Tribolium castaneum: one gene and its partners. Each later gene encodes a partner of the first gene's protein in a complex. Links are inferred from orthologs where the notes say so. Each region holds a gene or a part of one and is shown in the gene's direction. Other genes may lie near its edges. The genes, in order: Sf3b2; RNA-binding motif protein, X-linked 2; Prp5; spliceosome-associated protein CWC27 homolog.

Region 1 (8,391 bases):
ATATTGAGCCAATTCGTCCGTTCTGACGGGTGCATGTTACCGCGAAGAGTAACCGGTTTATGTAAGAAACAACAAAAACGGATGTCATCTCTTGTTACAATGGCACACAAAGCTGGTAAGTTGGTTTAAAGTTGTAATTACACCTTCATACATTTTTGATAGGGCTTATGCCAAATCTGAAGCCAAGCAACAGTCGCAAGGACCCAAAGAAAAGGCCATTGTGGAAGAAGTTTAACAAATATTTTGATGAATCAACAATTAAGTGTTAAGGAAATATAGTGCCGTTAAATGAATCTTTATTAAATGTGTAATGAGTACAAACGTTAAAATGTAAAACAAAAACTAAACCTACTTCCCCTTCCTCATGTTCATCAATAATTCAAATCTTCGGTTCGACCTCACCCCCTTGATTGTGCATTTTCGAGCCTCAAGTGTGTTTTTAACTGGCTTGCTTTTAGTGGCGACACTTTTGATTTCTTCAAGTCTGACTTGTGCTTTTGCACTTTTGGAGTGGAATGGGTTTGAAATTCCAAATTTATTAATATTGCAATTCTTCTCCACCAGGGCTCTTCTTTCATCGTTTGCTTCACGCCTAAGGAATCCGAAATTGGTTTTCTGCATTCGTGGGATGTGACTTGCAAGGTTATTAATTTTCTTTTCCAGTGCACTTCTCTCTTCACTTGTAAAAGTCGGTTTGGTGAACTTGAAAACAGGCGAGCGTATTTTAGTCTCGAACGCGAAAGTTGGTTTCGGAAATTTGAAGACAGGAGGTTGGATTTCCTCTTCGTTCTCACTCGCAAGACTTTCATCAAAGTTCTTCTTCACACCCTTTGGCAATGGTGTTGAGGGCAAGGGAATAAACGTCATCGATTTATCCTTCTCAGCAGTGTCTGGGGCAAACCTCAACTGTTTTCTCCCTACTTTCTCGGGTTTTTCCGCTTGTTTTTGCGGCTTTTTCCCTGATATTAACATCTTTGCTCTTTCCTCCTTTCTCTGTTTGTATTCAACTATACTTTCAACCCTATCCATTGCTCGTTTGTGAATTGCCGCAAAGTTTGGCACTTTGACATTAGAAAGGGGTTTTTTCGCTGAGAGTTTGGGATTTTTTAATTTTGGCGAAACTCGTGGCTTTGTAACTCCTGGTGTCGACTTGGAGGTTGACGGTCTTGGACTGCTAATCCACCTCGGACTGCCCTTAATTTGAAACGGTGTGGTGTTAACTTTATTCCACCTTTTTCTTTGAGTAACTTTAGAAAACATCACTTGGGGCGTTACATACTCTTCTGAATTATCGTCACCAAGGGACGATTTGGTTCCATCTTTCCCTGATACGGACTTCAAGAGTGATATATCATTAACACTATTTTCCAGTTCGTACGTTCTCCTTCTGATAGAGGTCTCATCACTGCTTCCATTCAAAGACGGCTGGATTGGGTCTTCAGCTGAATGCACAGACAAATACGGTGGAGCTTCATCTTTTAAACTTTGTGTTGAAGGTGATATGGGGCTTGGCAATAAACTGACAATCAAGTTTGAACCAAAAGACTCTTTCTTTTCACTTAATTGCTCAGAGACAGTGGTTTGGCCAATCTTTGAAATCAACTGTTCACTTTGCACATTACTGTCGTTTTCTTGACTCTTGCAATTTTCAGACGGTTGTTTAATTGGTTTTCGATCCAAATATGAATTACTTGTTTCAACATTAAATGTCTCATCATTTTCCTCACAATGCTTGGCGGAATTTTCAATTTCTTTAAATGAAAAGGACTCTTCACTGCTGCTCCCACTCTCGTCCAACTCAATGACAGGCACATTTTGTTTTTTGTCCTTTGATGTTTCAGATTTTTTTTCTTTTTTCGCCGTTGAAGCAACAAAATTAAATTTGGGCAAATCAATGGTAGGACTGATCTTCTCTGTAGTAGTCTTTTCCTGCACTTCAATGTAGCTTGAACTTCCCTCATCTTCATTCACAGGACTCAAGTTTACAGACTTGCAATTTTCAAAAGATTTTGAATCTTCAATTTCCCTAAACGAAGAAAACTTTCCTTTCCCACTTTCGTCCGCTTCCAAAGAAGACAAATTCTGTTTTTTGGTCTTTGGTGTCTTGCTTGAAGCAACAAAATTGGGGAAAGTACCATTGCTAGGACTATTTTTCTCTGTAATACGTCCATCTTGTGTACTCTTCTCGTTGACTTCAATGTAGCTTGAACTTCCCTCATCTTCATTTAAAGGGCTCAAATTTACGCTCTTGCAATTTTCTGACGGTTCTTCAAGAGATTTAAAATCTTCAATGTCTCTAAACGAAGAAAACTCTCCTTTCCCACTCTGTCTTTTGACCTTTGGTGTCTTGCCATGTTTATTTTCTTTTTTCACGTGTCCATCTTGAGCCATTTTCTCCGTGACTGTGATGAAACGTGAACTTCCCTCACCATCACTCACAAGATTTACAGAATTTTCGGAAGATTTCTCCTTCAAACTTTTTGTAGTGAGATCTAATGTCTCATCATTGCACTTGTCTTCCAGTTCACATTGCTTGGTACTCCTAAGAACTCTCTTAGCTTTGACGATTTTTCTTTTATTTTTTGGTACAGGTGGCGGCGAGATTTTTTGAACTTCCTTGAACAAAAAAGGGCTTCCTTTGTCACTTTTCCCGCTCTCATCGAACTCCAAACGAGGCAAATTCTGTTTATTATGCTTTGACGACGTTGGCTTAATATTTTCGTCTTCTTTTTCCACTGCAGAAGCATTAAAACTGAAGAAAAGCAAATCGTTCGTTTTTCTGACTTTTCGTCCACTTCTTGTTGCTTTGGCACTGCTTAAGGGGCCACTGGTGCTTTCCATTTCAGGTGGATTTAGTTTTTTATTTAAACGTCTGCTGGACCTCACTGACATTTTAATGCAAGCTATAAAACAATTTTTATGTAATTTTCGTATCAAAAAAACTCGGTTTTTACCTTTAACGTTGTGTTAAATCCAATTATTCGCTTTTTATAGTAACTTTACAGTAAACAAGGCACACAAATGACAAACCGACAACAAAACCGTTTTTTTGAATCTGACATTTGAGATTGAGATGCGTGATTGGTCCAAATTAGATTGGCATCTTGTTTGAAAAATAAATTGATTAAATATTTATAAATTATTGTATTTACAAGATGTTAATAGAGAAAGTTGTAACTAACTGGATAAATAACTACTACATTTGATTTATTCTGTATGAAAATTTTGGGAAATGTTTTCGCTTTTGCAGGAAATCGAGCTGTCGCGATTACGGTCGCATTCGCTCTAATTCCAAACAAAAATGTCGACCGAAACGTTGCTGAATGCCGCAATAAATTATTAATAATATTAAAAGTTTGCGGTTTTTCCTCATTGTAGATAAAATTTAACAGACTATCTGTTATAGTAAGTTCGCTTCTTGCTTTGATTCAAACATTTTTTAAGAAATTAGTATGAGAAAGAGGTTATATCAAATTGAGAAAAGTGCTTTTTAGTGTTAGAACAATTCCATAATCCCGTCTCCTTTCAGCTTACGGCTGCAACAAGCACTGATTCTACTGACAAATGAATCCGGATCAGCTACAAGAGGGTGTCCCGGAGCACCCTGTGCCCCACCAGGAAGGGATGTTTGGGTCAGGTATGCAAGGGTGGGCTGGTGAACATGGTAATTGATTGTTTTCAACCAGTTTGTTTATATCGCATTGGACTATTTCAGGTGTTGGTGGTGAAAAACAACTCCCCTCATTGCTATCCCTAAAAGTGGATCCTCCTGATCAGATGATGGAGACGCCACCAACTGAAGTTGTTTTACCTCAAGTGTTGGAAGAGGTGTTGGCGTTAAAAAATCAGAGAGCGCGTGAACTAGAACGAGAAGAAACGGAAACAGTAGTTCAACAGCCGCAGACTCCTAGAGAGGCGCTTTGGGAGAAAGATGACAATATTGTAGCTTTTTTAATTTTTTGTATGAATATAGTTATAACGATTGTTTTTTTAGGAACCCGTGGTTGAAAATGAAGAAGAGAGTCAGGTGAAAGAGACCACCAAAATCAGTAAGAATAAAAAGAAGAAGAAAAGGAAGAAGAACAAGAAAAACAGGGAGAATGAACAGAATAAAGCGGCTGAAGAGGAGGAGAAAAAGGATGGGCAAGAGGATGGGAATACAGATGTGGAAGTTGAGTAGGTGTTTTTTCTATTTGTTTGACAAAATTGTTATGAGTTTAATTAAAGGTACGTCCAAGAGACGATTAGTCTTCTTGAACTGGCTCCACAATACCGGCAGTTTTATAGCATTTTTGACGTGTTTAAAATAACTGATCAAAAGCATGATATCCCACCCCCAGTTCTGGCAACGCCAACATCATTGTCAAGTAAATCAATGTTAAATAGCATAGGAGATCACTTTCAGGAAGAAATGGAAGATGGGGACGACGTAAGTGTTGTATTACATTATGAATAAAAAATATGTATCTATTTTTTTTTCAGAAAAAGCTTGACGATAAGTCAAAAATGTCCAAAAGAAAGCTTAAAAAATTGACGCGACTTAGCGTCGCCGAGCTTAAACAACTAGTCAGTAGACCAGACGTTGTAGAAATGCACGATGTAACAGCCAGGGACCCAAAATTGTTGGTCCAATTGAAAGCTCACAGAAATACCGTTCAGGTAACGATTATAATTTTCTCAAAAATTAAAAGTAATGCAGCCATTCCATGATTACGGACGGCACATAACTATTATTTTAAAAATGGCTTATTAAAAAAAAAAGATGGATTAACAATTTAAATTCATTTTGCCACTTCTAAAAGTTGTTATAAATAATTAGTTACGGATGGGACACAAAAAATTATGCTTTGTAACAATTTTATTATAACACGAAAATGTTAACAAAATTCAGGAACTACTAACAATTAATAAAAAAAGAGAATACCTTTTATTAAATTATTATTAAGAATAGAATTAAGTCGTAAGCTTTGGAAAAATAATTTTCGTCACTACTTCCAATTTGAAAACTCTTAATTTTGCGCACATATAGAATTCTGTAGCATTATTAATTATTATTTTCTTTAGACGAACTTTGTTCCAAACTAAACATTTTACTGAACGCATAAGAAGCAAGGATTTGAATTTTTTATTAAAAAGTGATGTTTTGGAACAAACTTAACAGATTTTTCATAATAATAAAGCAGATGAAAATATATGCGGAGTTAGCAATTGGCTGAATAATGTGTTTTTCAGGTACCACGTCATTGGTGTTTCAAACGAAAGTACTTGCAAGGTAAACGTGGTATAGAGAAACCACCTTTTAATCTTCCAGATTTCATTAAAAGGACTGGAATCATGGAAATGCGTGCGTCATTGCAAGATAAGGATGAATCCAAAACACTCAAAGCTAAAATGCGGGAAAAGACCAGACCCAAACTTGGAAAAATCGATATTGATTATCAAAAATTACACGACGCATTTTTCAAGTACGTTTTTTTTATTTTTGATAAAAGCTAAAATTGCTATTGTTTGTAATTGTGTATTCGTAGAGATTGGGAATAATTGAAAAAGATAGACAGCTGTTTATTTAGAATTTTTTTTATAATCTCATTGTTATTGTTAGGTGGCAAACTAAACCCAAAATGACCATCCATGGGGACCTTTATTACGAGGGCAAAGAGTTTGAAACCAGATTGAAGGAAAAAAAGCCTGGAGATTTATCAGAAGAATTAAGAACGGCCTTAGGAATGCCTGTGGGCCCTAACGCTAATAAAGTACCCCCACCATGGTTGATTGCAATGCAACGTTATGGTCCCCCACCCAGCTACCCCAACTTGAAAATTCCGGGATTAAATGCCCCCATCCCTGATGGTTGTGCCTTTGGGTACCATGCCGGTGGGTGGGGAAAACCACCGGTGGACGAAAATGGAAAACCATTGTACGGTGATGTGTTTGGAACAAATGTTACCAACATAGATGTAAGTATTTTATAATATTGTTTTATTGAATTTTGTTCAAATATCAATGTTTAGGACATTGGTGAGGACCCTTCCGTGGATCGCACCCTCTGGGGCGAGCTCGAGTCCGAATCAGAGGAGGAGGATGAGGAAGAGGAGGAAGACCAAGACAACCAACAAAACGCCGCTGACGAATCCGGTCTTGTTACTCCAGCTGAGGGCTTGGTGACACCTAGTGGTCTCACAAGCGTGCCAACTGGCATGGAAACACCCGAAGCTATAGAATTGAGGAAAAAGAAAATCGAGAGCGAAATGGAACAGTAAGAATTATTTTGTCTCTAGGGGGGTATTTTAAATTGTTTTGTAGGGGTGAAAACCCGATTTTGTATCATGTCATTCCCGAAAAACGCAATGAGAGAATAGGTGGTTCCATGATGGGGAGCAGCCACGTTTACGACATGTCTGCTGTGGGCGCAGCCCCTGCAACTAGTCGCAAACCAGGGGACAAGGAAGGAATGGTTGAGTTGGCTCTTGATCCGTCTGAGTTGGATATGGATAGCGATGCAATGGCGGTTCGTTACGAACAACAAATGAGGGAAAACCAGTCACAGCTGCAGAAGGAAGATCTCAGTGATATGTTAGCTGAGCACGTCGCCAAACAAAAGGTAACATATTGTGTAATTTGTTGATTTACCTAATTGTTTCGTTTTAGAATAAACGCAAGCGCCAACAACAGGACACAAAACAAACGAAAAAATACAAAGAATTCAAGTTTTAGTGCATTTTCTGGTATGAATATTTGTCATTCTGATTTTAATTTGGCGAGAGAAATATTAGGAGTAGGAAAAATCATAGTCGTTTATTACTTCCCATATTAATTAATTAATTATTACACAAACTTCTTACATAATATAAGGACATAAAAAATGTTATTCGTTTAAATTAAATCAGCGACATTCATCGGCATTTCGTCAATCTGTGTGGAATAATACTGCTCAATATCCCGCAAAATCCTGATATCGTCCGACTTGACGAAATTAATCGCAACACCCTTTCTACCAAACCTGCCAGATCGCCCAATACGGTGAATGTACAACTCACGGTTGTTCGGCAAATCGTAATTAATGACCAAACTGACTTGCTGGACGTCGATACCTCTCGCCCACACATCGGTCGTGATAAGTACACGACTCTGTCCCGACCTGAACTCCTTCATAATATTATCTCTCTCCTTCTGGGGCATATCACCGTGCATGGAACTCACGGTGAAATTGTTTTCGCGCATTTTTTCAGTCAACCAATCGACTTTGCGTTTAGTGTTGCAAAAGATAACAGCTTGCGTGATGGTTAAAGTATCGTACAAGTCACAAAGTGTGTCAAATTTCCACTCCTCACGCTCAACCGCGACGAAAAATTGCTTGATGCCTTCAAGAGTTAATTCATCACGTTTTACCAAAATACGGATCGGGTCCGTCATGAACTTCGACGTGATCTCCAAAATCTCGTGGGGCAAAGTCGCAGAAATCAACACGACTTGAGTGGAGGGCGGCAGGAACCTGTAAACGTCGTAGATTTGCTCCTTGAAGCCTTTGTTTAACATTTCGTCGGCTTCGTCCAAAACCAGCATTTTGACGGACCTGGTCCTAAGGGCGCGCCGTCTGATCATGTCTGAAAATTAAGTTTTTTGGTAGGGGAAATTATTTATAAGATAATTATAAGTACCGTAAACTCTTCCAGGTGTTCCACTAACAACATGTTGCCCATAATCCAGCTTCCTGATATCCTCTCCCAGATTGGTCCCACCAATGCAGGCGTGACACTGCACGTTCATAAAGTCCCCCAAAGCCAGGATAACTTTCTGGATTTGCACGGCCAACTCCCTCGTTGGCGACAAGCAAAGTACTTGGGTTTCCCGCGTTTGCAAGTCAAGCGACTGCAAAATAGCGATCGAGAATGTGGCCGTTTTGCCGGTACCTGACTGGGCTTGAGCGATAACATCTCGGCCCTTTATTATCGGCTTGATAGCCCTCTGTTGGATAGCTGATGGTTTCTCAAAACCTGAAAGCAATGACCTCAATCCGAGCCGCACTGACCCACATTTTCCTATTACCATATGCAAAGACACCGCGAAGGAGCTCCTCCTTCAGGTGCATATTCTTAAATTGCTCGATGACTTCCACATCTTCGCTGGTTTCGAACTCAACGTTCGACAAGTCTTCGAAAGCCGCATTGCGGTTTGAAGGTTTTGCGACAGCCATTGCCTCCGTCAGAAATTAGAACGTGTGTTAAAGTAAAGTTTAGATGATTTAATTGAATGTCCAGTTCACTGAAGCACAACACTTGGGGCACCTGTCTTTCACAAAGGTGTTTGCATTTTTGGGGCCACTTGCACGTCCCCAACTGGTTTGTTTGTAGTATTGAGAGAAATAAAACACTTATTTTTCACCTTTACTAA
Region 2 (7,208 bases), about 8.4 Mb from region 1:
TTATTTGTATTACTATGTGAAAAGAATACGAATGTAATTTAATTCACCGATTTTAAATAAATTGTTTTGACAAATTGCTGTTTGAGTTAACGCCACTTTAACACACATTGGAATACGATTATCAAAAAAACATAAATAAAACTATGAATAATTTATTTATTATTTTATTCTATATTAAATTGATGATACACCTTTGTTAATAGGAAAATGAAAAAATGAGAAAAATATCACAGTTGGCTGAATAATTTGACTTCGCGCCACCTTTCGGTGTGCTAGTGCAACATGCAATGACAAGTTCACAAAGGTTTCTTGAACTCGATTTTACAAAATATTGACACAGATTAGAGGTTATCTTGCTTTAATCTGTGACCATCGATAAAGACAAACCAACCCTTGAAACAACCACAACCACCATGACTCTAAACCTAACCAAGGAAAACCGCATTTACAAGAAACTTTTCACTTTGAAACCCTCCCAAAGAGACGGGTATTGGGCCCTTGCCCCTTGGACCAATTAATTGCCCTGTTTTCAGCTTAGTGCTAAACATCCACCACACCGACAGAAACGCGCAGAAGATCCGCTTTCTCAGTTGCTGTTTCAGCAAAAATGGTCAAACACTGGCCTTGGCCGACTACGAGGGCAACATCTTTGTGATCGACTTCACGAGCACCAAATTCTGGAACATCCCAAAATTCACAAACACTTGCGTTATGGTCAAGTTTTCGCACTTCAAAGAGGGCGAAATTTTAGTGGGGGCACATTGTGGCGCTGTGTACGTGGTTGAGGCCCAAACTGGCTTCGTCTGCGGCCAGTTGAGGGGCCACCAGAGCCCTGTTAATTGCATGACGTTTGGTAGTAACTTTTTGTGCCTCACGGGGTCCACAAGTGAGGCGATTTTGTGGGACTTGAACACCAACAGCAAGCTGCAGGTGCTCAGTTTGCAGCACAGTTGCGCCCTGAAATATGTACGTCTTTGCGATCGTTAGAATTAATTTGATTTCGAAAATTCCAGGTGTGCTTCATTCCCGTTTCCTCCTATATTTTGACATGTTTCAACGACGACGTGATCCAGATCTGGCAGTTTGGCACGTTTGAGATGAAGACTGAAATACCACCTCTGGTGTGGTTCAACCACGAAGTGAAAAACATCACGTTCACACAGTATGACGATGGTTTTTGTCAATTGTTTTTTTATGTTTTTTTCAAGGGACGGCAAAGTGATGGTGATTGGTTGCCGCTCACCACACCTCGCCCTCTTCCTACTCTCGAACTTCAAACTATTTAAATTTATAACATTGCCAGAACACATCCAGTCACTGAAACACATTGATTTCATCCCCCAGCCAAACGACGCCGGCTCGAATAAAATTTTAGCCATTTTATCAGGCCGTGGCACTGTTTATTTCTACGACAGCCACCAAAATGTTCTAATGAGCGAATTAGTTGCAAATTACGAAATTTCAAAATACGATTTTTCGGCGAGTTATATGGCCTGTGTTTTATCGTCCGGTGACGTCAATATCTACGATGTGACCCAATACGTGGTTGTGCCACTCAAACTGAAGGCCGTTCGGGCAGAAAGTGCGCGAAAAAAAGTCAAATTGAAGCGATGTTTGGAGAAAATGGGCATAGTCAAGGAGCAGGTGAGTTGAGGCGGACCGCAGACTAAACAACTTGTCAAATTGTCAGATTAGGGAGATTCTCGAGATTGAAAAATTGAGAATGATATTGAAAGAGTGTGGCGAGTTTCCCGATTCATACCGGACCAAAATTTGGGAACACTTGTTGGCACTTCCCAATAATAGGGAGCTCTACAATGGGATTATCAACCACCGAATGATAGTCTCATTTGAGGATTTGTGCCGCAAATACCCGCTTGAAAACAAGCGAAACCTCAAAAACCTCAAACAACTGTTGGATAATTTGGTCACGTGGTGTCCCTTCTTCCTCAACGTGGATTATTTGCCACTTTTTGTGTTCCCCTTTGTCAAGGTTTTTATTAACAAGCCGTTGACGTGTTTTGAGGCCGTTTGCACGATAATTTGTAAGTGTTTTTTTATTCAATGAGCGGCAAAATTATGGAATAGTCTTATTAAAACTGAAAATATTTAAAATCTCATTGTTTTCAAACTGTTTTTGCTACAACAAAATATTTCTAATTAAGATTTTTCCATATTTTTGTTGATCCGGCTCGAAGGACCACACTATGGGTACTGAGTGAATAATCGCAGTGAACTGGTGTCAATTCTGGTTCGAGTACTTCCCTCTCCCTCCAATCAACATACTTGCGATGATTGAAAACGTCCTAATGGTACACGACCCCGAACTTTTGGACTTCCTAACCAGAAAAAAAGTCTCTTCCGAATTGTACGCATGGCCGATTTTGCGAACTGCATTTTCCGAGGTTTTGACAGCGCCATCCTGGAAAATTTTCTGGGACCATGTTTTAACAAACGAACCTTCGTTTCTACTGTGTGGAGTCGTGGCTTACAATATTTTACAACGAACCTCCATTTTGAGTCTTAAAGACGATAAACAATTTCGGTGTTTTTACAAAACGCATCATCCCATAGATGTTAAAAAATTGCTAACGAAAAGTTACCACATTTTGGCCAAGACGGGCGAGGCCGTGCACCCACGGCAATATTTGAACATGTTCAAGAAAATTAATTTGGGGGAATACCCCAATTTTTGTGATTACCCCAAAACCATGATCGAGATGTCGGATAAAGAGGCCGAGATGAAGAGAGAGATGGCGGGGTTGAAAACAGACGAGGTTGATTTGTTCAGACGCCGATTGATTAGTTTGGAGCGGTTGCAAAATTTCGAAGTGGAGGAAGAAGAGAATAAGCGAATTTTGGGTAAGTTTTTGTACATTTTTTGGGGTTTTAATTAAATAAATTGTCAGAAATGGAACGCGCGATTCGTAATCAATTGTTGGAGGAGCAAACCCGTGTCCAGGAGTACTACGAAAGGGTGGCCAACCTGCGCGAAAAATTCCACCAAGAAGACAAAATTTTGGCCTCCTTAAGACACCAAATAGCGAAGGAACAGCAATTGAAAAGCCGCCGAAAATACCTATCGTCGATTATGGACGATGTCAGGTTCCGAAAAGGCGAGAAAGGTTACGCCTTGACCAAGACCGAGGACGAACTCCTCTTCCACTATGCCGAACTTTTGAAAAACAAGTACAAAATCGAAAAGTTACTAAACACTGATGAAGTTGTCACAAGTACAAAACTATCAGTTGATCAACAACAGGAACAATTATCGAACGAAATCAATTTTGTGCGGAGTAGTGAAGAGCCCCGCAAACATTTGAAGATGTTAAATCTGACAACGGGGCTTGAAGCCATGGATGCTCTAATCGAAAAAGTCGAAAGTGAGCTGGAAAAACAAAAGAGCGGGAGTGACAGTGATGCCGATCGACGCGTTGTCGCCCTGCAAGCGGAAAGCAAAGAGTTGGCGTTGAAAATTGCCAATTTAATCGAGCTACTTGCCAATTTAAGGAGTGAGGAAGTGGGCGGATAGCACAATCAATTTTATTATAAGTTGTATCGTTTCTATTTATACGTTTTATGATCTCATATGCACCTGTGATATGTTTTTAAACGGCAATAAATTTACAAACCGATGTGAAGTCGCCTTAATAGTTCCAGCCGCGGTGTGAATGCACCTTAACGCAATTAACACAAACGTCAAACGTACGTCAAATACCTAACCTATTTTTTGAACATTTGTTTTATTTGTATTTGTTCATGTTTTTCGGGGTCAGAGGCCCCACAATCACGCACCATGAATCCGTTAACGTAAGTATTGTCGATTTTTTGCCCCAATTTTGCGAAGTTGTCTTTCCAGGAACATGAAAAATGTGAAGAAACTGAGCGAACAGGAGCTCTACACCGGTAATAAAACCTCCTGGCATGACCAATACAGGGACAGTGCGTGGGTTTTCATCGGCGGTTTGCCCTTCGACCTGACCGAGGGCGACATAATTTGCATTTTCTCGCAGTATGGCGAAGTGGTGAACATAAACCTGATCAGGGATAAGGACTCGGGCAAGTCAAAGGGCTTCTGTTTCCTGTGCTACGAGGACCAAAGATCGACCGACTTGGCCGTTGATAATTTCAACGGAATCAAAATCTTGAACAGGACGATACGAGTCGACCACGTCAGTAACTACAAGGTGCCCAAACAGGGCAAGAAAACGGACGCTGAGACGAAGAAACTGTACGATGAGGGCTGTGCCCCCAAGGCCGTCCCTGTGCAAGTTCCTGTCAAAGCGCCAGTGAAGATTAAAACAGACCCTGACGATTTTCGCGAAACACTGGCCGACCAGATTAATTCTGAGATCAAGTTGCCTGAGCGCTTGCCCATTTACACGATAAAAAAGGAGAAAGTGGACGAGGAGGCGCCGCCGGAGCCTGTTGTCACGAAAGAGAAGAAGGAAAAGAAACACAAGAAGGAGAAAAAGAAGAAGAAGAAAAAGAAGTCGGACGAAAACAGCAGCGAATCCGATTCAGATAGGAAGAAGAAAAAGAAGAAGAAGGGCGAGTCAGGGTCGGATTACTCCGCTGAAGACAGCGTGTCAGAGGACGAGGATAGGAGGAAGCGGTCGCGGAGTCCGAATAAGAAAAAGCGCTGATTTACTAACATCTATTTACAGCTCTGTGCTTCATATCTTCATTATCAGTAAGCTCGTCTTCACCTTGCGTCACATTGACATATTTTTTCAAAATGTGGGAGACACTCCCTAGACCATTATTCTCCAAATAATATAGCGAGAAGTGTGAAACTCCCGTGTTAATTATTCGAGCCCCTCCGAGACACTCGCCATCTTTCGACAAGACAGCGAACTGTCCCGGAGTGATGGCCCTCTTGTACCTATTCACTTTAATAATCAGTCCTTTACTTGTTTGGCACACCTGGCATTTGACCCAATATTTGGTGTGTTGGAACTTGAAATCGCACTCCAAAACCCCGTTTTGTAAATCAGGGGGCTGTGAGTGGATCCAGTGGGGCTCACTGGTCAAAATTATGTTCGTGTAAAGTAACGGGTGTTTTGTCCCTTTGACTACGTAAATTATGTTCTTGTCTACGTCTTTCCGGGCCACGAAATAAGGGCTTTCGTAGCTGTGGAGGCGCGCCCTTTGCCCCAAAGTCCACTGGTGCACCCCATTGTGTTGACCCACGACTTTCGCAGTGTCAACGTCCACGAAATCGCCCGGTTTATCATCAATATACTGAAAAAAATGTTTAGTCAAGTGACCAGTGCAAAGCTTCTTTGACCAATGACAGGCCTCCCTTCACCTAGAGGGAGCCACGTTAGTGCTTGACTACAATATTTTTTTTAATTAAAAAAAATTTATAAAACTTCGAAAACAACAAAAATTAAAGTAAGAAATAATTGGCCAATCACGGAAGCTGTGAACTAATCACTTACTTCTCTAATAAAGTCTTGAAATTTGCGATTGCCGATAAAACAGATCCCCATACTCTCCTTCTTCCTTGCGATTTTTTCAAGTCCGTTTTCCCTTGCAATTTTTTTCACTTCCGGCTTCATTAAATCGCCCAATGGGAACATTGTACGTTGCAAAGCTTCTTGATTGACTTGGCACAAGAAGAACGTTTGGTCTTTGAACCAATCAACTGCGTTTAGTAGTCTTACCCCTGTTTTTTTGTTGTAATAAATTGTTTTTTTTTTTGACTGGATACAGACCCTTTTCCGGGTTATAATGTTCAAGATAAGACCCGAAACTAGTCCTTGCGTAATGTCCGGTCGCGATAGCGTCAGCCCCTAGCTCATTTCTCGCGTATTTGTAAAAATAATTAAATTTAATGTTACGATTGCATAGAACGTCAGGGTTTGGCGTGTTGCCGGTCTCATATTCTTTGATTAAATTGCTGAAATTCGAATAATGTCTTTTTTGGCGGGGAATTTAATTATATACCTAAACACTTCGTTCCAGTAATGTTTGACAAAATTGACGTGAGTTAGTTTAATGTCCAGTTTGTCACACACTAGAGCAGCGTCTTTGTAGTCAGCGTCAGCCGAACAGTAGCCCTTTTCGTCCGCAATGTCCCAGTTTTGCATGAAAACACCCTGTATATCATAACCTAGAACTTTGACTCGAATTTATTCGAATTTTTTGACGTGATTTACCGCGTTTTTTCAATAAAAGTGCCGCAACGGCGCTATCGACGCCCCCAGATATGCCCACGACCACCTTTCGGATGTTTAACATGCTTTTTTCGCCGTTTAAAGGAACATAACCAACAAAATTCGACAAAAGTCAGCGGTAGCACAACTGGGTTGATCAGCGGTAACAAGCGAAAAAATGCGCCAAAACGGAGATCACGTTTTAATAATTATTTAAATTATGATTTGTTTAGAGTGTCCAATAACAGGGAAACGATATTCATTTTTGTAATCTTGTACGTAAAGTGCAAAAAAAACCTAATGGGCGCGGGTGTAATGTTGGTTGCATAACATTATTTTTTAAATTACAATATTAGAAAAACCGCACTGTAGACTTGTCGTTGCACTTGATAGATATTAGAAAAGAAACAGGTGATAAACTGTCAGGTTGATGGCAAAGCCTTGTTGACGATTTAATAAATGTTTCCCAAAAAAATCCAGAACTGCCAATTTAAATTGCCACGAATTTGCGCATGGTGTCAGAGTTTGAAGCTTTAGATTTGGTAAAAAAACGCAAATCCACCCCTGTGTTCACCCCCATGGCCTTTTAGGGGGCATGTGTGGGACACCCACCTTTAGCCACCTTTCATGCACTTCCGTGTGGCGTCAGCACCGTCACCGCTCTTCACTTCTTGAACCAATCCGCACGTTAGATAAAGAGAAAAGATCACGGCCCTTTTGTGTGAGATAAGGACGCCAATTGTCGACGTTCCGCACTTATCTCGCGGCCAGCTTCCAGTTGAACGGGTTTGGATTGTTGTTATTTTTGTTTTCAGAGTGCGATAGCTCGACGGCGTGCTGTCCATCGAGCGTTTCTTGCTCCAACTTCGTTAATTTGAATGAATTGTGTGAAAAACCGGACAAAAACCGCGAATTTCCTTTGATTGTGTGCGATGACCATTGACAAAAATCGCTTTGTTCTGCGATGTTGGTGAAAAAGTGAGTGAATCTAGAGTGCCGGCACAATGAGGTGCGATTTTTTGCTGGGACTGCTGATGATGGTCTGGG
Region 3 (7,612 bases), on another chromosome or scaffold:
TTGTAACAGGGGTGGCCAAATCCAAGGTTAATAAAAACAAAGGTGAGTTGATTGAGCAGAATCAGGACGGTCTGGAGTACTCCTCTGAAGAGGAAATTGAGGACTTGAAAGACACAGCTGCGAGTATTGTTAATAAGCAGAAGAAGGAATTGGCGAAAATTGATCATAACATGGTTAGATATTTACCGTTTCGGAAGAATTTCTACGTAGAAGTGCCCGAAATTGCCAAGATGACGCACGAAGAGGTGGAGGCCTACAAGGAGGAGTTGGAGGGGATTCGAGTCAAAGGTAGGGTTTTTGAGTTGAATGCAAGGTTTTTTCTACTACTGCCTAAATAAAGCAAAAGTTGTTTTATTATTTAACACCCAGTGTAGTACAGTATAATCGTCGATTATTATTAATTAATTTTTAATAATTCGTGGAAGAAAATTGTTTTTCAAACAGTCGACGATAAATAATGATTTTCTGAGGCAATGTTTGTTGACTTTTAATGTTCTTTATTAAATAGTAGGCATTGGTAAAAATACATATAAAAAATAATAGGGGGGAACAAAAATATCTTAATAAAAAAAAGAACAATACAAAAAAAGAACACAAAAGACGGATGAAGAGGCGAAGTTGTGACACAGGTGTTCCACTTAATATTTAATATTAATTATTAAAAATTATAAAATAAAATGAAACTGAATAATTAATAACTAAATAAAAATTGTCTATCGACAAAAACAAAGAAACAAAATAGAAAAAGAAAGAAAATTTAATACAACATAATCGGAACCAATTATGGCAATATTTTGGAATATTTATTGTTCGGTTGACTATAAAAATACATATTCATTAATTTATAATAATTTGTCGGAAAAATATTTCAAACAGTCGACGAAAATTGGTAAATTAATTGGAAAAACTAATTTATTTAATAATTATTTGAAACACCGTTTGTTGACCTTTAATTAATGCTTTATATTAAATAATAAGTATTGGTAAAAATACATATAAAAAATTATAGAAGGATTATAAGAAAGAACAATATAAAAAAGACAATAAATGGACGAAGAGGCGAAGTTTTGTCACAGATATTCCACTTAACATCTTAAAATTTAATATTAATTATTAAAAAATATAAAATGAAAAGAAACTGAATAACTAATAACTAAATAAAAAGTGGCAATCAAGCAATAATAATTAATTAATAATTAATAATAATTATTACGAAAATAACATTCTTTAAGAATAGATTTTTATCTATTATCAATCCCAGACTTTTAGTCAAAGAGAAGCTGGAAATATTTTTGAAATAAACAGCTTTCATCTATTTCTGTCTTAATATTTGTCAACATTACATAATCATTCCTTTTGTAAGATCAAATTTCGATAAACTGTGATTTTGTGTTTTGAATTTTTTTTCTAAACACAAATTAAATCACATTGTCGGCCGGCCATTACAATTATTCATACACATCGAAGACGAAATTCTAGTTTTATGGGCGGGACCTGTTTATCGTCTGATTTGTCCCCGACTAATTTATCTACGGCACAAAAAACTGCAACACGATTAAGGTGTTTGCCATTGGTTATTGATGGACTAATGCGCTCCCAACTACAAAACAGGCCAATCACAAGGCGATTAAAAAGGCGACAAAAACTGGTTTTATTATTGGGTGCTACTTTCCCTGATTTCTAAGAATTGCTGCTGAAAATTGCAAGCTGAAACTACAGAGCAAACAATTTAGCGACCAAACATTTACTTTTTGTAATTGATTATTTGGTTAAGAAATGATGTTTTTTCGCGCTTTTGCTTTGGATGCCGGTCTCGCATCGGCACCCTTGATGAGAATTAAAACAATAAAACCTTTACGTCCCAATAATCGGATTTATTAGCGCGTCGTTCCATTATTAAAAATCCATACAGCTCCTGATGCAAACAAAGTCTTAAAATTCCTGTTTCGTGTTCAATTTTATTGCTTCGTCATGCGTAACACTGAGATAAAAGGGGAGACGATTGTACGATTCTCCAACCCTTGATTGTGTTACGTCTTTATGCCCAAGTTAACTAATTAGGGTGCGATAATACGGCTTTTGCCGAAACTAACTTTGCTTACAACTATCGTACGAATCGATGAGTCTGCTATTGGGAAAAAATTAATTAAGAGGAGTTTTTTTATAACCAGCCAGACGACACAATGCGGATTAAAGTACGATGTTCAGCAAGAGATTAAGCTTCTGTACTACAAACTTTAATAACACAATTCGTGCAAGGTAAGCCACTCGAAGCTCATACAAAGCAGCACAAGTGCTTTTTACGATGATAAAATGTTGATAACGTTTGCTAACTCCAGACTTTATTAAAAAATATAGTTTTGGAAAACTGTTATTCTGCGTACATAATTTATCAAGGGATGTCACCCTGCTGTGCAGACATTAATTTTTGGGAGCGTGGTAAAGAGAAATTCCACAGCTAGACATTATTTGGTCTACATATAAATTAGAGTTTATTGATCCGAGATGCCGAGCTGTCCCGGACCGTAACCGGAAATATATGTGTACTTGCATAATATAAAAATTGTGTTTCTTTTTTTAAATTCAAGATTAGTTCGATTTGTTGCTCTCGATTTTCGAAACGTAAAATTGATACCATTGTTGGAAGAGGGAAAAGAAAATGTATTTGGCGATTTATTTCCGGTGAATGGAGCGATCGTGGAAATCTACATTTTAACAAAACATGCGGTGGAAATACGAGGCTTTTGTTGGAATTGGAGTATTCGCCAAAAATGGAAGATTCGAACCACGCGCTCGTTTATTTAATTGTTTTATTTCTGTTTATTTAGGGGAAAAATTTCGGTATACAAGAGTGTAGACAAAAAGCGTTGTTTTATTTTAAACACTTAAAATATTTTTGATTTTGTTAACAATTATGTATTGCGTAATGAACGTGCTAAACAACGCTCAGTTTATTTAGGTGAGAAACTTACAAGCTTGAGACTTGTCATATTTTGCTTCTTTTGGCGAAATTTTGCTCAAAAACTGAGGAAATTAGTGAAATAGTCAGTTGGTAACATTGGTTTTATTTGATTTCTGTGCTTTTGAGGCGTGTTTTTTAAAGGTTTTACAAATTACTTAATTTAAAAACGAATAAATTGACTGAAATAAGATAAAATTAGTATAAATTTTGAGCGAATTTGGTGATTTTTCAAACTTCTTTTTTGAATTTTTTTAGTGAAAAATCTTAGTGTTAACTACTCAAAAAAAAGCAATTCTTTTATTTTTTTTATCAAATTTTGTTCATTCTTTGGTTTAGTTTGAATAAATTTTTTAAAAAATTTGCGTTTCTAGCTGAAAAACGGACTAAACATTCAAAAAAGACAAAAATCCTTTGATTTTCGACTTGATTTGGTGATTTTTTGGTTAGTTTTAGAGACATTTTGAAACTTAAGATTTTTACTCGAAATCAGAATATGGTTTTCGACCAATTGCTGTGTTTTTTTGCTTTATTTTGACGAAATTTTGCTCAAAATCGAGTTAAATCGAAAAACTGACAAGTTGTTACAAAATAAATTAATCTGTTGGTTTTTTATTCAATTTTAGGCGAATTTTTCCAAAAAAAACTAGTTTTACGTTTGACTGAACAACCAGAACTTAAAAGACTCAAAAAATGCAAAAATAAGGTAGTTTTGGATCAAAATTCATGATATTTTTCGATGTCTTTTAGCAAAATTTTGGAAAATAACCGAGATTTTAGCTCTAAAACGTCTAAAACGTCTAAAATGTGCGAGAAAGTCAGAAAATAACATTACTTTTAACCAAAATTGGTTGTTGTAAAAGTTTTTGTACAATAACTGAATCTGGTCGAAAGCTGTTAATAATTTTTTGAAATCTCAAAAACGTTTTTTATTTTTATTTTTTATTCAATTAAATTGAGTGAATTTTACTTTGTTTCTCACAAGAAACTTGCTGTATTTACTTGTTTGAAAAATATAAAATAACACTTTTTTTCCATCAAGCTTTATAATTTTTTGGCTTCTCTTTGAAGAAATTTTTCTTAAAAACGAATTAAATAGACTAGAATAACATCAATTTTGATCAAATTTTGTGATTTTTCAGCCAGTGTTGGTGCAATAATTAATCGAAAAAGTTTTAATAGTAATAATAATAATATAAATAATAAAATATACCAAAAAAGAACAAATTTGAGACAATTAAATTATACAAAACATTTATAAATTACGAAGAAAAATATTCTAGAAGCTTGATCTTTACAGTTTTAGTTTAGAAATTATTGAAGAAAATATCTAAATCTATTGTAATATTATTATATAATTTAAAACATTTAAATTTACGTGCTTTAATTCTCGAAAAAGATAATAATTTTGGACAAGTACTTTTATCATAATTTTTCAAAATAGTTATGTTTTTGGCTGGAATATTTACTAGAATTTTCGAAAAACAAAACCAAGAATTATGTGGTTTTTGACCTAACTTGGTGCTTTTTCTTTTTATTTTAGCGATTTTTTTTGTTTTTTGATCATTTGTTGAAAAATATTCTTGTTCAAAAATGACTTTAATTTAGCAAAAAAGCTGAATGTTTTTTATTTTTTTTTTGATTAAGAATTTCACTAATTTTGATTTTTTTTGGGGATTTTATACGTTTTTGTGTTCCTCTTCAATAAAAAAAAATTATACTGAGTACTTCATTTAACTCCTTCAACAAATGTCCTTTTTTGCAGGCAAGGGCTGCCCTAAGCCCATCAAAACATGGGCCCAATGCGGCGTCTCGACCAAAGAGCTCAACATCCTCAAAAAGCTCGGTTTCGAAAAACCCACCCCAATTCAAGTCCAAGCCATTCCTGCAATAATGTCCGGTCGTGATTTAATCGGAATCGCGAAAACCGGAAGCGGAAAAACCCTTGCTTTCCTCCTCCCCATGTTCCGCCACATCCTTGACCAACCTCCGCTGGAGGAACTCGACGGCCCTATCGCCATCATAATGACCCCCACACGCGAACTGTGCATGCAAATCGGCAAAGACATCAAAAAATTCACCAAGAGCTTGAATTTGCACGCGGTTTGCGTTTACGGCGGCACTGGCATTTCGGAACAGATAGCCGAGTTGAAGCGCGGGGCGGAAATTATCGTATGTACCCCGGGACGCATGATTGATATGTTGGCGGCAAACGGCGGCAAAGTCACGAATTTGCGACGCGTTACTTACATTGTGCTTGATGAAGCCGATCGGATGTTTGATATGGGGTTCGAGCCGCAAGTGATGCGGATTATTGATAATGTGAGACCTGACCGCCAAACGGTGATGTTCAGTGCGACTTTTCCGCGCCAAATGGAGGCGCTAGCCAGGCGGATTTTGCAAAAGCCGATCGAGGTCCAGGTTGGTGGACGCTCGGTTGTGTGCAAAGATGTGGAACAACACGTTGTTATTCTGGAGGAGGACCAGAAATTCCTTAAATTATTGGAGCTGTTGGGTCTCTACCATGAGCACGGGAGTATCATTGTCTTTGTCGATAAGCAGGAAAACGCCGATATTTTGTTAAAAGAATTGATGAAAGCGGCGTACAATTGCTTGAGTCTTCACGGTGGTATCGACCAATTCGATCGCGATTCGACGATTATTGATTTTAAGTCGGGGAAAGTCAAACTTTTGATTGCTACTTCGGTGGCGGCTCGAGGGCTAGATGTCAAGCATTTGATCCTGGTGGTTAATTACGACTGTCCTAATCACTATGAAGATTACGTCCACAGGTGTGGTCGGACAGGACGTGCAGGTAAGTGATTAAAAAACCTACAAGAAAAAAGCTCACAAAAATACCACTTACCAATGTTTCAAGTTAAAAAAAAAACACTTCCAGTTGTCCAAAGAAAAAAAAATAGATTTAAAATTTTATTGTTATAATTTTTTTTTTTTAAGTTTTGCAACCTACTGTTTAAGTGAAAACTTAGAAACTGAAATAGTAAAAAACTCAAGACGTTTTTGAGCAATTGAACAATGTTTTATCTTCACAAAAGAACTCACAGAGAAATACGCTCATTATAATAAGCTGTATTTATTGTAAATGGATATTACCTTTCCTCCCTGGTTTCTACTCATGAATAAAGCATTTTCTGTCAATTCAAAAGAGTAACTTTATTTTCTGATCTAAATAACAATTTAAAATTGGGAGGAATTTTACTTAATATTTTGATACTTTTTTTAAGAATTACTCAAAACGTAAACTACGAATATTCTGCACTAATACAATGAAGGAAATCTTACTTTTGTTTTAAACGTTACGTTGTTTTAAACGTTGTTTACTGTTTTAGATATTACACTTCTTTATTTTTCTGGTATAAGAAGAAGAAATAAAACAATGAAGAAAAAAATAATATTAATAAAAAAATACAATCAAACATAATGGGATTGATTTTTTTTGTTCTTGACTTATTTTAGAAGCGGCAATTGTTTTTTATAAATTTTTTGTTTAACTAATATGATATGTAAACACAAAAAATAAGCAAAAAACAATTACTTTTTTCTAAATAACAATTAATAAAAATTAATTAAATAATAATTTAAAATAGTATTTGTATAATACTTTTACTAACTTTTTTATTTTATTTTTGATTTTTTTTGAATTAATTTTTTGATTTTTTTATTCTTACTTTATACTTTATACTTATATACTTTTATGCTTTTTTATTTTTTTATACTTATTTATTATAAAAATGTGTATTTACTAAAACATTAATTTGTTAGCTATTATTAAAAAAAATAAAAATGACGTCATTACTCTAAAATGAATGACGCCAGAAATGCCTTTATGATGTCAAAATGTACTATTTCAAAAAATTAAATCGACTTGTTCGAGGATTTTTTCGAAAAATAATTTATAACATAGTGCGTTACTTTTAATTCATCTGTACAGTCGAACAAAATGAAAATGATGTCTCAATGACAAACGTCAAGTTAAATAAAAATGTAAATTTTTTCATTGGAAAATTTTAACAGCCATCGAAAGTGAGCAATTTTTTTACGATGTAATTTATTCATCAATGTTTGAAAATTATAATTTTTACATAAAAGTTTGACAAATCTAACACAGACTGAATTCAAATGTTTCGATGTTAAACCTAAAAAAACGTTCGAATTTTTACCAAAATTTTTACCATTTTTACTAAATAAGTCGGATAAGTCGGAACTATTTAAGTTAATAATGATTTGTTTTTTTAACGCATAATTTTCTTAAAGAAATAGTTTTATGAAAAAAACTCAACGTTTGGATTTAATTAACTCGACGTTTGTCAATGGAAAATAAGTGGCATTTTAATCCGAATTAGTTTAATTAATTAATTAATTCTGAATTAAATTTAATTTTGCTATCTGTAAACCAGCTCAACTAAAAAAAACTATCTTGAAACTACGTCAAGTTTGCTTCCACAGCTTGAGGCGTCATTTTCATTTTGTTCGACTGTACGTAGAAAAGCCGTATATAAAATTGAGTTGTTTTTGCCAAAAAATTGATTTTAAATTTTTTAGATTTTGTAAATTTTTGTGAGTTTTTTTCTTCTGGGCTTTTTTCTGTGCGCATTTTTTTTCGGTGGGCTTATTTCAATGATTCGTGCAGGT
Region 4 (7,582 bases), about 5.7 Mb from region 1:
ATAAAGTGGGTGGATTGTTTAACAGGAATGCATTGAAAGTTGTGTTGACTTTTACTAATTGTCTCTAAAAAATGTTAATTGGTTTCATTGTTCGGAGCAAGTGGCTATTTACTTGACACCAAGTTGTTGAAACCTTGTTATCCAAAAGCCTCATGTCTGACATTGCCAAAGGATAAAGTTGGTGACCGTAGACATGGTATCTCATATAAAGAGGAAGCGCTATCAGTAAACTTGGGAGAAAAATGCCCAATACACATAGTCTGACTAAACGGAATGGGCCTTTTAGGGTCGTTGGACGCTTTTTGCACTGACTGTGATTTTTTAAAGGACACTCTGTAAACAAAATCACCTTGGTTTACTCCAATGCAAGTTTTATCTCGTCTTACAAAAGAAATAACTGGACTTTAGTCTGGGACAAAATTAAACAACTTATATAAGTGCGTCAATATTGCAGGGTACAGATTAAAACATTAACCAATTATTTTACACCGCTTTGACGTAATTTGCAAAACTTCGCACACCTTGTGATAAATTGGGTTCCTGATACGATTAGTTGTTGCTCCAAATTAAAAAGCGATAACAAATTTATATTTGGCAATAGCCAAGCAGTCAAACAAAGATTTAGTTGCAAAAATTTTTCCAAATACTTTAAACGTTCAAATAATGCATAATAAACCATTGTTTTTTATCAGTTTTATTAGCATTATTTCTTAATAGTCTTAGCCTTATTAAAAATGTACAATATTCATTGTGAATAAAATACACAGATAAAGCGTAAAATAGAATCAAATACCAGTCTCAGTTTAAACCAGTTTGATAACTAATCACTTAAAATTTCTGGGAAGAGCTTGGCACAATTCTTACAAATCCACAATGTGTATCATCCTTGGCTAGAATATCAAATTATTAATTTAAATTAATGAAGCTACATTTATGCATTTAATTTATCAAGTTTTTAAATATTAAAAAAACTATTTTTCGTCTAATAAGAGTTTTCCAAGAAATCTTATCTAATGTTAAAATATTTGAAACAATATTTATGCATAGTTCAACTCAGCTAAAATTTATATCAATATGTCTGTTATGATGTGTTGGTTTTTTCCGAACAATTTGTTTTGTTACGGTCGATGATCTGCTGTTGCTATTATTTTATATTTACTCTAAGTTTGTCCATTATCTATTGTGAAACTATGTTTTCTCACGAAAATTAACTAAATATGATACAGTTGATAAACAAAGAGTCTTCGAAGAGCTCCATTTAGTTATCTAATATCTCTAATTATCTTGATTTAAGTCACTATAAATATCAAGCAACATAATTTTATGTAACTTATTAATTAGTTGGAAAAGTTTGAAACTTTGATCAAATTATTAGAAAAATATTTCTTATTTTTATGCAGAGGTTCATGTCAGGTCTACTCATCCAGAACTCTGTTATCAGTGTTTAATATTTGTTTTGTAATTTATAATTACAGTGATAATTCGATACGTATTTTTGCAGAGGTACAAAGACGTGGCCAATCAATCAATATTTGACAAAGATCCTGCGTAAATCAAGTCTTAATAATAATTCTAATCGATTTAAAAATTGGTGGGATTGAGGACGAGATTATTTTTCCATTATTAGTTATTTTTGACACCAAATACGTGGGTATTTGAAGCCGGATCTAGTTTTTGAAATTGTAAAAATAATAGTACCTACCACAGTAGTATTTTAGTTTTTTATTTTGGTTATTTGGTTAATAAATTCAAACTGACCCTGAAATTCTATTAACATCTTGCCACATGCCACCAGAATTATTAAAAAATAAATATTACGTTGTCGTAAATAAAACAAAAAGCCGTAAATACAAACAATTAAACACCGTAAAATATGTACAATAAAAAAATAAATTTCATTTCAAACATGCTACAAAACGATTTTAATTCTCTCCAAGAAATACTTTATATTGAACAAAATAGTGTTTGATGAGAATGAGTTTAATTATATGCATGTTAATTGGGCGATAAGACTGATAACTCGTCCGAAGACAATGCTATGAGAAAAGAGTTTAATTTTAAAACGCACAATAAAATAATTCTCTTGAAATAATGCCAACCTGTCAAGCCAAAGTCCGGAGAATAATTCCGCCGAAAAAATTCGCGCATTACCTTGTAAAACCGTAAAAATTTTCATTTGTATCGCACTTGTGCCACATACTTCCATTGCAAACACACTCACAAAAACGCTCTTTACAGTCCAAGTTCATTGCATGTTCTGACCCAATTATAACAATAACAAATTTTCGAAATTGTTTATATTATGTTAATTAAATTGATAACAATTTGAGCCGATTCTCTAAACATTTGGGCAAATAAATCAGCTATATTTACCTTCAACTAAAGTTCCAGACTCCAACATATCTCTCCGCGACCAAACAACAATAACATAATATTCACACGTTTAGGAAGTCCTCGCAGACAGGTGTATACTCATATTTATAATACCAACACTTATCTGTGAGAATTTTCTGTAAACTTTTATCATTGGATTTCTTTATCTTGCGTGAAACGCGCGCTGTGGCTCAATGGTGATTCTCCCCGCTTTTAGTCGAGAACTAATTCTAATTTTAGTTGGACACAAGTACTTGAATTTCGAGTTCACTTTTAAGCTAACACAGTTTGACAATATATTTAATTCAACAAGCGTTTAGTTCTAATCTGGAGAACGTTTGATTTAGATAAGTCTGCGATAGACAGACAATATTGATATCATAAGTATAACACAAAATAAACAACAATTAGTTACTGCCTAATCTGTTTTAGTTTTCACTTTCCGATTATTTTTCACTGTCACCATGTGGAAAACTAACGATAAAGGGGAAAGTTCAAGTCCAATTCCAGAAAATTTAAATTTGACCTCATTGTTTTTTTAATTCTTTATTGTCGCGCAATTCTTACTATTATACGTATTTATTCAAATCTTAAAATAAAAAGATAATAATAGCATCTGGCGCTCCTTCGTTTATTTCCTTATTTATCCTATTGAAAAAAAAATTGTTATGAAACAATTAAAACAGTGAAGTATTTGAAAAAAACTGAACTCAATTCATACACAAAACCATGACTTTGAATTTGTATTTTTTTTAAGAACAAAATTTGAAAAACCAAATTTTAAATTGTGACTAAGGTGGCGAAGCTTGGCACTTTAAACACAACCAAACTTCGTAGCTTAACCTCATTCTTTGACACTTGTCAAAATATAATAAACATTCTAAAGTTTTAAAAATGAGTAGTGTTTATATTTTGGAGCCCCCAACTTCGGGAAAGGTATTTAATCGTTCGTCTTACGAACACTACAATCAAATTTTTCGTCTCAGGTGTTGTTGAAAACAACAGTTGGTGACATAGACGTCGAATTGTGGGCAAAAGAAACGCCAAAAACCTGCCGCAACTTCATACAATTGTGCCTTGAGGGCTATTACGACAACACTATCTTCCACAGGGTTGTTAAGGGCTTTATAGCCCAAGGGGGTGACCCAAATGGTGACGGTACAGGCGGAGAGTCAATCTATGGAGAGCCCTTCAAAGATGAGTTTCACCAAAGACTCCGCTTTACGCGAAGAGGGTTGCTTGCGATGGCCAACGGGGGCAAGGACGACAACGGGTCTCAGTTTTTCTTCACCCTGGGGGCGACTCCCGAATTGCAAGACAAACACACGATTTTTGGGAAAATTACCGGAGACACGATTTTTAATATGCTCAAGCTTGAGGATGGGTTAATAAGGGACGAAAGGCCGATCTACCCTCACAAAATCATTAAAACGGAAGTTTTGAACAATCCATTTGCCGACATCCAACCCAGGCTTAGACAGGTTGAGGTGAAGGAGAAGAAAAAGAAAGAGAAAAAGCCAGGAGTCAAGTCAGTCAAATATTTTGTGTAATTTGTTGTAAAATCATTGTTGTAGGAATTTTAAGTTATTGTCGTTTGGGGAAGAGGCTGAGGAAGATGAGGAAGAGTCAACGAGGGTCAATGAAAAGTTTGTGGGCAAAGGCAAATCCACACACGATGTGTTAGGTACACAGTTCAAATAATTGGTGTGGAAATGTTTTAATTAAATTTAATTGAAGATGATCCCAAATTGAGCTCTAAAACGGAGGACGTAGATGAGGAGAATGATGACGTGGAAGAAGTTAATCCAGAAGAACAGTTAGAGAGCATCAGAAAGAAACTAAAAAGAGAACACAAAAAACCTGTACCAACTTCCACAACAACGGCGGAACCGATAGATACATATGAGTCATTCCTAGAGGAAGAGAGGCGCGAGAAAAAGAAAAAACAATTGTGAGTGACTATTAATTATTTTTCTATTTTCGATTAATTTATTTACAGTGAGGAGATCCAAAAAGAAATCCAGAACGTTAAAAAGGAATACCATAAAAATAAGTTGAAAAAGAAGGAAGAGGACATAATTGCAACCGAGAAGAAGGTCCAAGAAGACAAGACAATACAAGAGTACAAAGACGAGTTCGATAAATACAAAAATAAAAAAGACGCATTACCTAAAAAGGGAGCTGGGAGAGAACAGTTCACTTTGAATTTGTTGGAAAAGTTCAAAAAGAAGATACAGTCAATGAAAGACGGGGAAGAGAATGAAGAAGACAATGAGGAAGAACAAGCGTGGTTGAAGCACAGACTGTGCTTCCAGGACAAAAACCCAGTCTTGGCAAAAGACGCCAATAGAAAAGATGACGATTGGTTTGAAATTTACGATCCTAGAAACGCTTTGAATAAACGACGACGTGGAGAAACCGTGGAGAAGTTCAAGAAATAGTGTTGTTTGCTATATTAAAAATAAAGATTTGTAATTTTATGCGACCTTTTTTTTCCCGCCTTATCCTGGTGTAGCAAAGGCTCCAAAGAGCAAAAACTTCAAATAAACGTAAAGTTCGAGTTTTTTACCTACATTTTACCATTCTAGCACTCGCTTTAATAACAATCACATTAGTATTATTAATGACTCTACTATAGTTTGTGTTAAATTAATAAATTATTATTAATTAATTAAATTATTATTTTAGTTGTTACATATTATAAGACTCTATGCGCGTAGGATTATATGAGCAGATGCGCGCGTTTTCGGAATTGAGGTTACGTTTTTAATTTTGTGGGACCGGTGTTTGATGTTAAACTAGTATGAAAAATTAATGAAACTTTTGTGTACGTGAATAGACAATAGTGAGAAGCATGAGTGTGTGCACGTAAGTAAAAAACCATCAGTATTAAGAAAAACAGCTGATTATTTTTAGACCAAATCGTAACGTTTTAAACAACTCTTTTGCACTAGAACGGAGCCTTTCCGTGAATAAAACACGGCGAACTGTGCGTAAAAGCTTCATCTGGGGCTCCGTGAACCTCCTTATACTTGCAGTCCTTCTTTATGATATGTAACAAACTGCTCACTTAACCTTCTTTTTCCCATAACTGTGTTTTTAGAGCAAATTCATGTCCTTTGTACACTGATATTTACGACTATATCAAATATGCGTTCGTTCTGATAGTAAGCATAAATCTCTTGTACTATGCTGCAAAAATTATGATCTCAAATTTCAATCATGAGCAAATACCAATCACTTTGGAGCAGAAGAAACTGTTAGGAATCAGTGATTCAGGTTTGGGTGCGGAACTTAGAAAAAGGGGAGTGTTAATTATGTTTTTTAGACCCAAATTTTAAAGTTGTTGATAAGTTACATGCGCCAACAGCTCAAACACCTTCACATTCGTTTTCAAATAGTCCTAGTCCTCCAAGTTCGCCACTGTCCAGCACTCCGATGAACATGACTGCGAACAGCTGGAGGTCCACTCCCAATGACAGTGAGTTGTTAAATCAGCAACTCAAAACGATACAAAAAATATTTCAGGTTTAAATTACTCATTATCATCACCTTCTTGGACTTATCATAAAGTAGTTTCTGGCCCTTCGCCTTCCTCATTTTCTTCCAACAGCCCCATTCAATATAGGGACACATCGGGGATCGAATTTATCCAAGACGAAAAAGACTTAGATACGTATTTAAAAGAGTTCGAAGCTAACACAAGTGTTAAAAATTTGAACAACCAGACGCAACAACCTTCAAATTTGTTGAGTTCGTTTTGGAGCCACCCTGTGACGAAAACGGCCAAAGACATGTCCAGTTTTTTGAAACGTTGTACTTATCAACTAGCCACACAATCACCTAGTCAGTTTTTAATTTCGTCTTTTAGTTTTTGTTAACACATTTTTTTAGCTAATCTCAATTCAAGTAGTCCGAAAAATATAATTGAAAATAAAAGTTCGCCTACAGCTTTCCAAACGTCCGCTTTGGCTCACTGGTCGAGGCTTAATATTGACATAGTGTCTTTAACACAGTGGAACGAGAATTTACGCAAATGGATTTCCCAAACCATTTTAGAAAGACTGATCAAAGAATTTGATAATATTAATGAATCTTTTGAGAAACATGGACTGACGGATATTAAAATTGGCCAAGTGGGGTTAGACAGGCTGAGAAAGACTGCACAAGTCGCACATGTTACCCATTTTATTCCAAGTCTACCAACCCTGATACCGTTCTTGGAAGTCACCTCTAACCAAGAATATTTGGAAAAACGGATAAGAGAGTTGGCCAAAGGGGGCTGCATGAGTGATTTTAAGTGGAGTGGGGGGAGCGGCTACAATGGGAAAGACTGGGATGATTCACTCCCCACTGATTCAGCCGTAATTACCCTAAAATCTGTTTTTGTGTAAAGTCATTTCGTATTTTTAGATCATAATGCACTTGTTTGCGTCATATTTGGATACCCAGCTAATGCCACTCCCAAGTATGCCAGACACAAAACCTTTCAGTGGTCTTTATTACATCAAAAGCAAGGATAAAGTCCCGACTCTAACACCCAACAGTCTTTTTATACAACAAGTGACTGAAAAACCGCCACATTTTCGAGTAATTGTGGGAGAAACGATCTATGAAATGGTCAAGGTACTTACAAATTTATGTAGGGAAGTAAAAACTAAATAAATGTTTCAGGGTTACAATAATTTATTTCACAGTATTTTATTCTTTCTGTATCATGTGAACAAGCAAGAGCATGGAATGTTAGGAAGAGTTAATTTGGGCAGGGCGGGGGTTAATATGCTCTGGATTATTGGACAATAATTTTTACAATAAATGCCTATCACAGTATTTTGATTTTTTATTTTTCCCCAAGTAATTTTATTTTTCTGTAAAAAGAAAAATAGCCCGGAATGTAGTATTTTGAAGGAATGAAATTGCGTATAATGTTGGTTGCATAATGTTTCAAATTACGATTTCAAATAACCTGATCATCTTCCTCGATTCATTTTATGTTCGTGACAAAAATTCAATATTACGTGATTATTTATTATTACTACTGTATCTACCTACAGACAAACGACAAATTAGCTGTAATATTGTAATAAAAAACTTGGTTACTTAGTGTAACTTGAATTCACTTTTATTTAAAAATAGGTATTAACGTCATAAGACCAATATAAAGCAAATAACTGAACTAAAAAAATCCCCTTACATTTATTACAAAAAA

The links.
Region 2: Sf3b2 (region 1) and RNA-binding motif protein, X-linked 2 share a complex: the UniProt entries of both Homo sapiens proteins name them as parts of the minor spliceosome. The link is inferred for Tribolium castaneum from reciprocal best matches to the Homo sapiens genes SF3B2 and RBMX2.
Region 3: Sf3b2 (region 1) and Prp5 share a complex: the UniProt entries of both Homo sapiens proteins name them as parts of the 17S U2 SnRNP complex. The link is inferred for Tribolium castaneum from reciprocal best matches to the Homo sapiens genes SF3B2 and DDX46.
Region 4: Sf3b2 (region 1) and spliceosome-associated protein CWC27 homolog share a complex: the UniProt entries of both Homo sapiens proteins name them as parts of the minor spliceosome. The link is inferred for Tribolium castaneum from reciprocal best matches to the Homo sapiens genes SF3B2 and CWC27.

Annotation. Positions count from the first base shown.
Region 1 is NC_087396.1:14,195,981-14,204,371, reverse strand, and holds Sf3b2 (splicing factor 3B subunit 2), read left to right. Parts: upstream 1-3,258; 5' UTR 3,259-3,405; intron 3,406-3,529; 5' UTR 3,530-3,564; coding exon 3,565-3,664; intron 3,665-3,715; coding exon 3,716-3,942; intron 3,943-3,994; coding exon 3,995-4,176; intron 4,177-4,227; coding exon 4,228-4,429; intron 4,430-4,482; coding exon 4,483-4,659; intron 4,660-5,232; coding exon 5,233-5,465; intron 5,466-5,602; coding exon 5,603-5,957; intron 5,958-6,011; coding exon 6,012-6,256; intron 6,257-6,303; coding exon 6,304-6,601; intron 6,602-6,648; coding exon 6,649-6,714; 3' UTR 6,715-6,788; downstream 6,789-8,391. Other genes in the region: mRpS18A (large ribosomal subunit protein mL66), read left to right, coding at 1-115, 163-269; uncharacterized protein LOC103313715, read right to left, coding at 349-2,892; eukaryotic initiation factor 4A-III, read right to left, coding at 6,874-7,604, 7,659-7,994, 8,047-8,194. UniProt on the Homo sapiens protein: Component of the 17S U2 SnRNP complex of the spliceosome, a large ribonucleoprotein complex that removes introns from transcribed pre-mRNAs.
Region 2 is NC_087396.1:22,563,134-22,570,341, reverse strand, and holds RNA-binding motif protein, X-linked 2, read left to right. Parts: upstream 1-3,657; 5' UTR 3,658-3,796; coding exon 3,797-3,810; intron 3,811-3,859; coding exon 3,860-4,646; 3' UTR 4,647-4,650; downstream 4,651-7,208. Other genes in the region: TBC1 domain family member 31, read left to right, coding at 414-487, 534-966, 1,014-1,162, 1,209-1,644, 1,691-2,045, 2,233-2,862, 2,910-3,532; mitochondrial tRNA-specific 2-thiouridylase 1, read right to left, coding at 4,651-5,244, 5,445-5,671, 5,721-5,905, 5,953-6,118, 6,165-6,246; LRP1 (prolow-density lipoprotein receptor-related protein 1), read left to right, coding at 7,166-7,208. UniProt on the Homo sapiens protein: Involved in pre-mRNA splicing as component of the activated spliceosome. As a component of the minor spliceosome, involved in the splicing of U12-type introns in pre-mRNAs.
Region 3 is NC_087399.1:721,345-728,956, forward strand, and holds part of Prp5 (probable ATP-dependent RNA helicase DDX46), read left to right. Parts: coding exon 1-288; intron 289-4,724; coding exon 4,725-5,774; intron 5,775-7,610; coding exon 7,611-7,612. UniProt on the Homo sapiens protein: Component of the 17S U2 SnRNP complex of the spliceosome, a large ribonucleoprotein complex that removes introns from transcribed pre-mRNAs.
Region 4 is NC_087396.1:19,896,667-19,904,248, reverse strand, and holds spliceosome-associated protein CWC27 homolog, read left to right. Parts: upstream 1-3,163; 5' UTR 3,164-3,267; coding exon 3,268-3,309; intron 3,310-3,359; coding exon 3,360-3,901; intron 3,902-3,947; coding exon 3,948-4,057; intron 4,058-4,110; coding exon 4,111-4,324; intron 4,325-4,372; coding exon 4,373-4,814; 3' UTR 4,815-4,853; downstream 4,854-7,582. Other genes in the region: uncharacterized protein LOC658443, read right to left, coding at 1-64, 113-333, 2,152-2,206; transmembrane protein 209, read left to right, coding at 5,228-5,241, 5,290-5,427, 5,477-5,652, 5,702-5,854, 5,902-6,219, 6,268-6,737, 6,787-6,999, 7,048-7,176. UniProt on the Homo sapiens protein: As part of the spliceosome, plays a role in pre-mRNA splicing. Probable inactive PPIase with no peptidyl-prolyl cis-trans isomerase activity. As a component of the minor spliceosome, involved in the splicing of U12-type introns in pre-mRNAs.